Linked DNA regions of Saccharomyces cerevisiae S288C. Changing the gene in region 2 together with the main gene of any one other region gives a genetic interaction. Each region holds a gene or a part of one and is shown on either strand. Other genes may lie near its edges.

Region 1 (4,067 bases), on a different chromosome or scaffold from region 2:
GTTTGATACATTCCTAGTTTGGCTCAGACCATTATAATTGTGAAAATTGGGCATCGGGGGCGGCTGTGTGTTGTGCAGGTTTTCCAAAGTTTCAATATCTTCGCCTAGCTGGCTTATTTGACCGTTAGAGATTGATATTCTTCTTCTTCTAATTGGCTCATCGCATCCAGGCAAAGAACTTTGGAAAATTGGTGGATTCGTCATAGGTAAATGTGCTACATCAACACCAAAAGGTTGAAAAAATGGCGACAATGTTTCCAGGATGGATGGATCGTTCAAGGCATGTGGGTTGTTATTCATATTCATGTTCATGAAATACATCTGCTTGTTCACAGAAGCCGTATTGGCGATGTTGGACGCATTAGTCGGGGCTGTAGTAGAATCATTCGGAGCGGACTTACGGGTAGACGACAGTTGGCTCAGATTTGTATGAGTGGCCAGATTCTGATGCATATCCTGTACGACACCAGAATTCATCAGAATATCACCGTAGAGTTGGGATTCCTCTTCAGTTTTCATAGAGGGTGACTGTTGTCGCTGATCCTGCTGTTGCTGTTGTCGAAGGTATGCAGCCTGCTGATAGTTTGAATTGGCGCTGGGTTTAACAACCCGATCATGCGAATTGACGTTTCCAGCTGCAATAGAATATTGTGGGGTTAAAGAATTTCTATTGGAAGTAGTATAATCATGTATTTGGTCAACCACACCAGCCATATTTGTGCTATAGTTTATGTCAGTAGGATCTAAGGATCTACTTAAAGCAGAATTGTTCATAGTAGAAGTGGTGGTGGCGGCGGCAGAAGTATCACTAACAGAGTGCGGTATCTTATTATTCAAGATCTTTGATGTGTCATCAATACCACGTTTATTGTTGTCTTTTTGCTTGTTGGAATTAGAGTCTACGGAATGATACTCCTGACCAGTAAACATTATCCTACCAAAAAGGTGTGGGCTTATACTTTTTTCTTTACTACTTTAGATCTTTTTAGATCCTTTTGAATCTTCCAATTGAAAGACTGCTTTAAAAGCGAGTTTTTGATTTAGAAACACCAACAGATACGTATACACGATAACCTCTATAGCGGTTCTATTTCTGTTAACAAGAAGGTACTTGAAAGTGATAACTCAAAAAACAAGAGTACAATATGAAAATCTTTTGCCTTCATTGTCATTGTCATTGAATCCCCGATTATCATTGTCAGCAATTTCGGAGAAGGGGGCAACTATGTTCCGTGTAAGGTGATATTACTCAAATGTGTCACAATTTCAACTTCTGGGAATAATATTTATAATAGTTGAGATTATTCTTGATTATAGAGGCGACAGCTTATCTTAATTTTCGCCAATAGGTTTGGAAGAACATTGGTATTTTCATTCGGTGCAGCATTTTAATTCAGAATTATAACCGTCCTTGTACGGTTATAACAGCACATTATTGAAAAATGTTTTAAAAATGTTTCAGCCCAGTAATAAAACATTTACATATGCTATCTTGGCCCTTTATATAACATGTAAAGCAAAAAACTAGAACACTAACATGGCTTAAGTAGCTGAAAATCTACACCACTTTTCGATAAAACTAAGAGTACGGCAAAGATGAACAATGTACACATAATTAAACCTTTATCACTTCCACAGAGGTTTTTTAGTTGTATTTTCCATCCTCTATTACTGATATTCTTTACTTCTGTTATTTTAACTATTTGGGGTTCCTTTTCAGTCATTGACATTACAATGGCAAAAATGTCTCACGCACAGGTCAAACGAAATGATACCGTCTCAACCTTTGCATCTATTTCAACTGCTACAGCGACAGCCACAACAACGGCCACAACAACGGCCACAATGACAGCAGTCACAACACAGCATGCCATATATTCTGCCAACAGTTACTCTTTAAATAAAACATTCATTGATAATACAATTGATCAGTATTTCGAAAGCAAACTACGGAGTATTGAATCTACGGTAGGTACGGATATGCAAGAAAAATTCAAGTCATACACAGACGACATACTGGATAATAAACAAAAACTTATCAACGACCAAATAAGTTTGGAAACTGAATTGATTAAGGAAGTTCTTGAGGTAAACAATACAATTTTTAACGAACTACTCACTAAATCACAGCTGATAAATGACACATGGAATGAAATATCAGAAGACGCAATGACCATTGATAAGGATTCCATTTCACAAATGGCATCAAACCTACTGTTAAATTACTCCATGTTTGACAGTATTTTTGGGAACTACTCAAGGAAATTGAAATCATTGCAGAACTTCAATGGCACTATCACTGACTTTTCTACTCAATTAGATACCTCTAGTACCTTAAGTTTGAATTTTCTACGAAATTCCACTGACTGGCTTCAGTTGAAAAGGAACTTTACTGCAAACTTACAGAATGAAATTTCCATTTTATCTGGGGGGAGTACCGAGGTTACATCGTCTACTTCAATAATTAAACGGTCTCTGAAAACAAATAGCGAGGAAAACAGTGTACTAAGTGCAGTAAAAAATCACGTTTTCCGTAAATGTAAGAGAATGACAATAATTTTCACAGTCATGTACTTTGCATTTGTGATTTTGCTCATGGCAATCGAAAGAATTCTGTTTCAGCTGGAAAATCAGCAAGTAAACCTGGTTATGTCCCAAATTAATGGCCTGACAGGACAAACCAATTTTACTAAATACAACAAAGTTTTGAAAAGCTTAATTACTACTCTGAATCTCAGTACACTTTATCCAATTCCCTACCAATTAACAAAGCTTATCAATCAAAAAATATTTAAAAGAGAACCAGAAAAAATCGATGACAAAAAAGTCAAAAAATCAAAACTATTTTACTGTAACTGGTGGATAATCTCAAATGGGGCTCACCTGTGGCTGTTTGGTTTTTTGATGTTATTAATTCATTGGCAGATAGTGACGCGATTAACAAACTTTGAAGTACCCAGTTTGCCTACATTCCACAAAAGAGCGGGACCTTCGCTATACAAAAGGGAAGTTTGGACAGATGGAAATATAACAACTACGATAGAGGGTTTCATTAATGACAGCGTATCATTATTGTGTGAAAATTTCCAAATGGAAGTGAATGAAAAGTTCATTACAGCAAATTTAAGCCTTCAAACTGACCCCAATTTGAAAGTGCAATCAACGGACATCCTAAATCTTTGGGTTAACGACACAAACACTCAGTTTGAAAAATATCTTAATGAGAGTTCTCAAAATTGGCAGGGGATAGACCTGCAGGTTGAGCCTCTGTTAGGCAGCGATTCAATTAATGAGTTCCTGGGTCAGTATTTCCTACCGACATACGAAGTTACGAATACAAATTCTTCATTTGCACTGGACATTCAAAAATATGGTATAATTAATCGAGGAATTAATATAACCAACGCATCGGTAGCGGCATTGTCTTCACTGTCAAAACGCCAAATAAAGGATAAGGAGCAAAAACAAACGTACTTTTTACACACTGTTTATAAGTGGGGACTTTTAGCAGTTTGCCTGACTATATTGTTCCACCACATGCTTATATTTATAATATTAAAGTTGTAAGTATCGTATTATCGTCACCTTCCACGAGCGGTCTCGCAATTTTCGCTGAGTGAAAAACTTGTGAAAGATACCTTGATTTTATGTAATAGTAGCTTAATTCACTTTCATCTGTGCGTAATCTCTAAAACCTACTGACCTACAGATCAATAAACTGACTAAGGCGCTTGTAAAGTTATTAATAACTTTGCTTCTACATTTTTTAAAGCATTTTGTTGATATTTCGAACTTTCTTTTGTTCATCTCCTTTTGGTTTGACTTTAACGAGAAGTCTCATTGTGTCAAGACAAAAAATCAAAAGCTATTATCTACAGCACATTTATTTATTCATTTTCAAATTTAGATTTTTGAAGATTCATTGTATGTTTAGTCGATCGACATGGCTCATAGAAAATTACAGCAGGAGGTCGATAGGGTCTTTAAAAAAATTAACGAAGGTTTAGAAATCTTCAATAGCTATTACGAAAGACATGAATCATGCACAAACAATCCTTCCCAAAAGG
Region 2 (4,076 bases):
GTACGACGCCATAGTGAAGCCCACAACTGACAAGTTGCAGTCTGTGTACATCGACCCAACAAAGACTAAGCTTAACGAAACCTACCAACGCTTCACCACTGTCTATGAAAACAATCTAAGTAAATCTGAAAGCGTCCCTAAAGCCATTGTATCCACCGGGTTGGACTTGGGCAATGCCACCATTGAGAAGCTAAAGGCCTCAAGAGAAGACCAAACCAATTCTAAGCCCGCGGCTGTGTCGACCAATTAGTAATTTGGTTTTGCGCTAATCGTGCGCCTGATTTTTTTTCCTGCCACTCTTATATAGTTATTTGTTATTATTCTATTATTTCATCTATTGTTTGCTAGCTATTATGTACGTTGCTGTTTGAGCACTATATACAATTGAATACCAAAGAAAAAATTATAAAAACGAAAAAAAAAAAAAAAAAAAAAAATTTGGTTATAGCTCGATCAAGAGACAATAAAAGTGAATATACATGGTGCCAAGGGAAAGTCCTAGCATGTCAAACAGTCATCATACATCCCAGGGAAGAAGAAACAAACTTTCAGTGTGGGTTAAAAAAATAATAAACACCACTACCACAACTAACGCATCGGTCTCGAGCAGTAAACCAAGACGCGGCACTAGGGCTGGCCCCACAAGAGTTAAGCGTGCTGAGTTGGATCCGGATGGAACAACCATCAGTTCGTCGTTGCGACCATTGGTTGATCGAAATTCGTTGCATTCGAGCGAATCCGATGACGAAGGAGACCGTCGAGTGGCATGGGATGAACCACCAACAGGCAAAGTAAGACAGCAGCAGCAGCAACAGCAGCAACAACAAAACGACAACGCAAGTGTTATTCCGCTAGTATCGTTTTGTTCCTCGTCAGTGAAGTCGTCTACTTTCTCGGACATTCATTCAATACAGTCTACGAGGCCCACAATATTCTCTAACAGGACGTTTGAGACGAATTCTAGCGTTCTGGCCATCCCACCACAGAGTATATTGGATCGATCAAGAACCCTCCCGCCGTCGAACGCAAGTAACACTACCACAAGAAGACCGTGAATTGGCTACCTAAGATGAACGTCCTATATTGTATTATTTGTGTATGTATGTATGTGCGTGCCTATGCAATGCTACATGGGCAATAGCCCCACAGAATGCGAGCCTGCCCTTTTTCTTCTGGATCTAATTTTTTTGAACCTTCTTTGGAAAACTCTTATGCAAGCAGAAAAAAGATAAATGCCCATGATCAATAGCAAAATCTCGCTATAATGCCATATGGTCAGCACGACCTTGAACAACCGAGAGTGAGGATTGTTTGAAGTTTTCTGTTCAGCTGACTGTGACCCAGTCTTGATGTTTGGTTGAGCTTTGATCATTTTCCATTTGGTGAACTCATCGGGTTCCCTGTCAAGGACCTCGCCAAATTCCTGCTCCAGGAATAGCTCAGCTTCCTTTGCGTAATCATAGGTGTCCTCAATGGACGCATCCATGTCGTTCCAATGGAATTCGCTAGTGGATACGTCCAGCAGCTCCACTGTCTCCGTTAATTGGCCATTTAATGCGCTACAGCCAATGTATCTTTGCCCCGTGTGCATGTTTTTCGGCAAGTACAGATTTTCGGTTGTTTGAAATAACTCAATCCAGTAGTTTCCCTCTTTTGCGTACTGCACGTCGATCTTCAGGAAGCTTATACTTTCCAAATATATTATTCTTAGTTTCGTGACTCGATTCCACAGGGCATTTTTCTTGAGTTTTATGTGGCCTCTTGAATTAAGCCGCAGCGATGTACTGAGTTCACCATCACTATTTATATCGTACCAATCGCTTTCTGGGGCCACATTTATAAACACATCCATAAAGGGTACCTCCTTATGGTCGTGGCCTTGGTTGCGATACGTATCCAAGACAATAAATAGGCCAGGCAGATTTTTCGGGAAGCCCATCAGATCTGTATTATCGGCTATGACGCCCTGAGAATTCATCATGTATTGCTTTTTCGCATACGACGACTGTAAATTCTGTGTGAGAAACCCATTTTCGGGCGTAATGGCAAAACACATTCCATCACCAGTGAGTTGTGTAGTGGGGTCGTGAGAAATTCTGAAAGTGAAAACAATCTCAAAGTCATTGATGGTGTTGTCGCCAATTCCATTGGACAATACTAATCCATGTTTATCTTGATCACGGTCCTGAGTCAATTTGATCGACTGAATATTCCTAATTTGCGTGGCACCGCCTACATGCCAAAACTGGTTGATCTTGTCCAAAAACGGTATAGATAAACTAGCATCATGGTTGGGCACACGCGTTACATGTGATCTTCCTCTTGTAAAGGGGCTAGTCTCTGTATGGTACTGATCACCATTATTGAGATAAATCTCAGCCACTAATTGGAATATTAGAAACAATGATAAAATCAATAGTGATATGGCTAGTTTCTCTGCCCTTACATCTCTTGACATCGTTACTTAAAGAGAGAGCACACACGTTATAAACTACCCACCGCCAAATTGCTATCCAATGTTAAGGATAGACAAATGCAAAAATATATAAAGGAAACCAAAATCTGCTTATATAAAGCGTAAATCTTACATTTTTCACTGCTTACTCACTCTTATTGTTTTTTTTCTGTTCAACCACGCGATGAGTTTTTTTTTTCCATTATTATTTATAGGACAAAAATGAAAAAATATTAGCTCAGATAAGCACATTTTGTTCATAGCTAAGTGGATAGGGAAACACCTACACTTAATTGCAAGCAACAATGCCTTCGCTAACCCCCAGATGTATCATTGTCAGACACGGTCAAACTGAATGGTCCAAGTCAGGCCAGTATACTGGTTTGACAGATCTACCGTTAACGCCCTACGGTGAGGGCCAAATGTTGAGGACCGGTGAGAGTGTTTTCCGCAATAATCAGTTTTTGAATCCAGACAACATCACTTATATCTTCACCTCTCCACGTTTGCGTGCCAGGCAAACTGTGGATTTGGTTTTGAAACCATTAAGCGACGAGCAAAGAGCTAAGATCCGTGTGGTGGTAGACGACGACTTGCGAGAGTGGGAGTACGGTGACTACGAGGGAATGCTGACTCGAGAAATCATTGAATTGAGAAAGTCACGCGGTTTGGACAAGGAGAGGCCATGGAATATCTGGAGAGATGGGTGTGAGAACGGTGAGACTACTCAGCAAATTGGGTTGAGACTTTCCCGCGCTATTGCCAGAATCCAGAACTTGCACCGCAAGCACCAGAGTGAGGGCAGAGCATCAGACATCATGGTCTTTGCGCACGGACATGCATTGCGTTATTTTGCTGCTATTTGGTTTGGACTGGGTGTGCAAAAGAAGTGTGAGACGATTGAAGAAATTCAAAATGTCAAATCTTATGATGACGACACAGTTCCATATGTGAAATTGGAATCTTACAGACATTTGGTAGACAATCCATGTTTCTTACTGGACGCCGGTGGGATTGGTGTTTTGTCATACGCTCACCACAACATTGACGAACCTGCATTGGAATTAGCAGGTCCATTTGTCTCACCACCAGAGGAGGAATCCCAGCATGGCGATGTGTAAGCAATCATTCGAAATGCAAAAAAAGATATGCAGTTATAGAAAGTGATAAAAACATTTTTTTTCTTGACTTTTTATGTTATATAATATGCTATATATGATAATATCTAGTGGTATCTTAAAAAAGAAAAAATAATGAAATAAAAGGGATAGTACAAAGGACTGTGTTTTTTTGTATTGTGGAAAAACGAACTAATTGAAAAATAAACCATAAAATGAACGGAGTAAAAAAAGTACTAGCAAAAGCTTATTTGCAATATTCAAGGAAAAAAGGCCTAGTAGAAGACAAAGTTAGCAGAACCAGAAGTAACTGAAACAGTACAACCGTCAGAGCCAGAGCCAGAGTAGACACCATTTTCGTAAGAGCAAGCACCATTGACGGTAGAGCCATCGGTGGCAACGATCTTGATGTTAAAGTTTGGTGCTTCTTTGTTGTTTGGGTTTGGAATGATGGACAAGTAAGTGATACCATCAGTGTAACCAGCACCCAAGACAACTGGGGC
Region 3 (3,803 bases), on a different chromosome or scaffold from region 2:
CACAACCATCTTCGAAGAAAAACTCAAAAAAAATCTTACCTCTTCAGTACCTAAAATGACATACATAATTCGACTTTTTGCTTGTCCATATGTTTTACATCTATATATATTCGTTCTTTTGTCACATTTTTGTTTACTCAGGCCCTTGTCAAAGGGTTGTTTACCTGGATGACAATACCGTTTTCATTGTTCTTAACCACGGAAACCTGTGTCAAATCACAGACTACATAATCTGCTCCTGCGTCAAATAAAACGCTCTTGTCATACGAGGATGTTATACCCACAGTAATGGCGCCCATTGCTTTGCCGGCCTTTATGCCCACGGGTGCATCTTCGAAGACAACATACTTCAGATCCTGTTTACCAGTTAATTGCAAATCTTGACGCAATAAATCACGAGCTCTTGAATAACCCTCGGGATCAGGCTTACCGTTCTTCACGTCAAACCCAGTAATGAAAACTTTGGGCTTTCCAACATTTTTCAATATTGTCTCGAACCATGAAAATGCCAAATATGGAGAACCAGAGGTAACGATAGCCCATTTCCTTTCAGGTAACTTTTTTTGAGTCTCAGTATCTACATCTAACGATAACAGTAAGTTCTCTGCACCAGGAATAAGGCTTACTGTGTCCAAGTAACTATGGGCAATATCTTTTTCTAGAGCAAGAACACCTTTATTGTCTGTATCATCCAATTTAGGGAAAAACCTTCTCAAAACCTCTTGTGTTCTTGCACCATGAGAATGCTTAAATAACTCGGAAGGATCAACACCGTATTCGTAACACAACTTGGTCCATGCTTTCTCTGCGGCCACTGTTGTACTCACTATGGTACCATCTAGGTCAAAAAGACATAGATCAGCTGAAAATTCTGCCATTATCCTTTGAACTTCTTACGTGAGTGGCAACGTAACCAACAATCTCCATCAGAACGTTATTTCCAACAGAATAATCGCGATCATTAAAAATGAAAATAAAATTAAATAAAATACTTGCAATAAAAAAGTTCCATGAAATTTATATCATTAGATGGTACCAGAGCCTATAATCTCATAGATATACGCTTCCTTCTATAGCTGAACAACGGTTGTTTGAAATGTCGGGGTTAATGTCGGAATATATAGGAATACTCTGACGTGTCTGTATCACGGAACATAACCGTGATTGAAAATTACAAGAAGCCAAGACTCTAAAGGATATGCGGTAGAAGGCGTGTGTAGAAGAGCCCAGTGTATATTTTTTCACCGATAAGATGAAGTAGATAAACGGAATTTCTGGCAAGTTACTTGGCAAAAGGATACATAGCACGAATTACTTTATTATAAATATTGTAACTGATTGCCTTGAATTGATGTTAATGAGAATCCTAGGACCCTTGGTTTGGTCATTAGCTTTTCGTTTTTCTTTGCGCGTCGTTAAGAATGAAAAAGTTCTAATATGTATCGTATCATAAACGACAGCAACTTCGAGAAGTACATTGAATGGAAATCATTCTGCAACACCTTTATAGCTTCAACATAGGTTAAGTTTTAAGCATTTCAAGTGCTTTTCAATTAAGCTATAGAAAGTTCTTTCGTTAGAAAGAAAGACAGTTAAACAAGCGGCAAAAGTTGATGAGCAATGAATTGGTCTTTTCTACTACAGCTGGTAATAACAATATTGTTAATTGTGCTGGGCGCCAACTGGTTGCTAAGCTCTTTTCTACTTGATTTTAAGAGAGATTTAACAGGGGTGGCTTTGTCACAGCAATCTAGCATATCCAGTGTTCGTAAAGAAAATGAAACAGCATATTATCGAAGCATTTTAGTGCCCACAGGATTCCCATTGACGACAGGATTAGGGCTATCTTTAAAATACAAAATAAGAAATGGCAATTTCGGTGATGTTTGGAATGCCATAATGGAAGTTTCCAAGGGAAAAAACATAATTAAATTTACAGGAAGAGAAAAAAGTTATTCGTTGAGTGAACTTAATGGTATGGCCAAGCGCATATTTCCGAAACTTTCCAATAAGAATTTCAAAAATATCGGTATAGCTAATTCTATTGCTACCGTAGAGGGTTTTACTCTCTCCTTGGCTTCCATGATGACCTCTATAAGAACAGGTTCAATACCTCATTTCTTGCCAGCTGTTCCTAGACAACGACTAGAAGATGTTGATGTCCTGATCATCGACTCATGGAAGTCTTTTAAGATGCTAAACGGCAGCGAGGATTGGTACAAGCTTATTGTTGTTTGCGATGATCCTATCGAATCACTACAATTTGATGCGAACTGTGATGTTATCACTTGGAAAGAACTTATCGACGGTTTTACCAAGGATACAGAGTACCAATACACCCCGCCAGATGACAACTCTGATGATAAGAAACTTTTTGCATACGTAACTTCACCATGGAATGGAACTAATAGTTTTAATCAAATCTGTCTGGTGAGTAATATAGCGGAATTCATCAAAGGGTTCCCCTTGGGAAATGAATTGAATAGTAATGAATACCTAACCATTTCGACAAAATTGGCAAATTCTAGTGCAAGCCTACAAATTTGGGGAAAGCTTTTTGCAGTTTTGCTGCATGGTGGGTCTGCATCTTTCATCAATCCTACAACGATAGATTGCGAGTCGTTGCAAGAAACTACGTTACTGTTTACCGAAACAAAGGATGTTGTCAAATTAATTGATTCTAATTCTAGAAGTGGGCTGCTGAATAAAATCTACTTATCCTGGGCCACGAACTTACTGAGCGAGGGTATTTTTACGAAAATTGCCAGAATCGAGCCACATTCTCTTGAAAAATTAAGATGTGTTTATTTGGCAGATAATGTGAAAGATGCTGAGGTTATTTCGACATTTCCTGAAAAAATTCCTCAGCTAAAAAAGACTAACCGAAGAATCACCCCAAGCACTGAACAATTGAATAAAATAAGAGCTCAATTAGGATCCCGTGTAGTCCTCGAGTTATATTGTCCCTACGCTATCATGGGACCTGTGGCACATACCAATTTTTATGACTATAGGGTTTTTGGAAAATCTGTGGACGATAACGTTGTATGTTATGGAACACTAAGTACAACATTAGAAGGAAAAATGGTAGAAACGGAAACAAACCCTCATTTGAACATAGAGAAGAAGCAGGGTATGTTATGTATTCGTGGTTTTAGCATAGGTAAACCAGTAGAGTCCGATCGTTTAGAGAAAGCTTTGCATTTAGCTGAAAGGTTTGGAGGAGGTGAAGGATGGATGCCTCTAGTTGGCGTTTTTGGACTATTTGGCCAAGACGGTTGCTTATACATCTATAATCAATGAGCATTATCTATCGCTTTATTATTTATTATTTATTATTATCATTATTATTATTATCATTATTATTATTACTACCAATACCTTCTATATCCCTGTGATCAGCTAAAATGATTCAAATAACTGTCATTTTAATCGTACATTTTATATTAGGCCTAATGTGCTGACGATCAGTCATATTTCAAATGGCCATCAACACAGTTCCAAAAGTCTGTGATATATTTTGTTTGTTCGTCACTTTCGTTATTAATTGTTCCCCTCACAGCCAAATATGTCCTATTGTCGACATCAATACTCCATTCACCTGGATTGGCACCTACTACACGACCGCCCACTTCTTTCAAAATACACCATCCAGCACACACGTCCCACGAATAGCAACCACCATCCCAATAACTATCAAGGTACCCCATAGCAATATATGCCATTGTCATTGCAGATGATCCTAAATTTCTGAATCCATGAACAAAACCGTAATCACATGATAGTAATTTTTCATATGTGGC

What was found. Genes that interact genetically often act in the same process or in processes that back each other up.
Region 1: mutations in SHB17 (region 2) and PRM2 together harm fitness less than expected from each alone (positive genetic interaction), as found in Saccharomyces cerevisiae (one large-scale study listed by BioGRID).
Region 3: mutations in SHB17 (region 2) and DDE1 together harm fitness more than expected from each alone (negative genetic interaction), as found in Saccharomyces cerevisiae (one large-scale study listed by BioGRID).

Annotation. Positions count from the first base shown.
Region 1 is NC_001141.2:282,529-286,595, reverse strand, and holds PRM2 (pheromone-regulated protein PRM2), read left to right. Parts: upstream 1-1,596; coding exon 1,597-3,567; downstream 3,568-4,067. Other genes in the region: CST6 (Cst6p), read right to left, coding at 1-930; CCR4-NOT core subunit NOT3, read left to right, coding at 3,944-4,067.
Region 2 is NC_001143.9:520,397-524,472, reverse strand, and holds SHB17 (sedoheptulose-bisphosphatase), read left to right. Parts: upstream 1-2,760; coding exon 2,761-3,576; downstream 3,577-4,076. Other genes in the region: PLN1 (Pln1p), read left to right, coding at 1-250; YKR045C (uncharacterized protein), read left to right, coding at 504-1,055; UIP5 (Uip5p), read right to left, coding at 1,127-2,458; SUN family protein UTH1, read right to left, coding at 3,849-4,076. UniProt on the Saccharomyces cerevisiae protein: Sedoheptulose 1,7-bisphosphatase involved in riboneogenesis. Dephosphorylates sedoheptulose 1,7-bisphosphate (SBP), which is converted via the non-oxidative pentose phosphate pathway to ribose-5-phosphate.
Region 3 is NC_001140.6:193,931-197,733, forward strand, and holds DDE1 (Dde1p), read left to right. Parts: upstream 1-1,620; coding exon 1,621-3,303; downstream 3,304-3,803. Other genes in the region: DOG1 (2-deoxyglucose-6-phosphatase), read right to left, coding at 138-878; inositol monophosphate 1-phosphatase INM1, read right to left, coding at 3,468-3,803.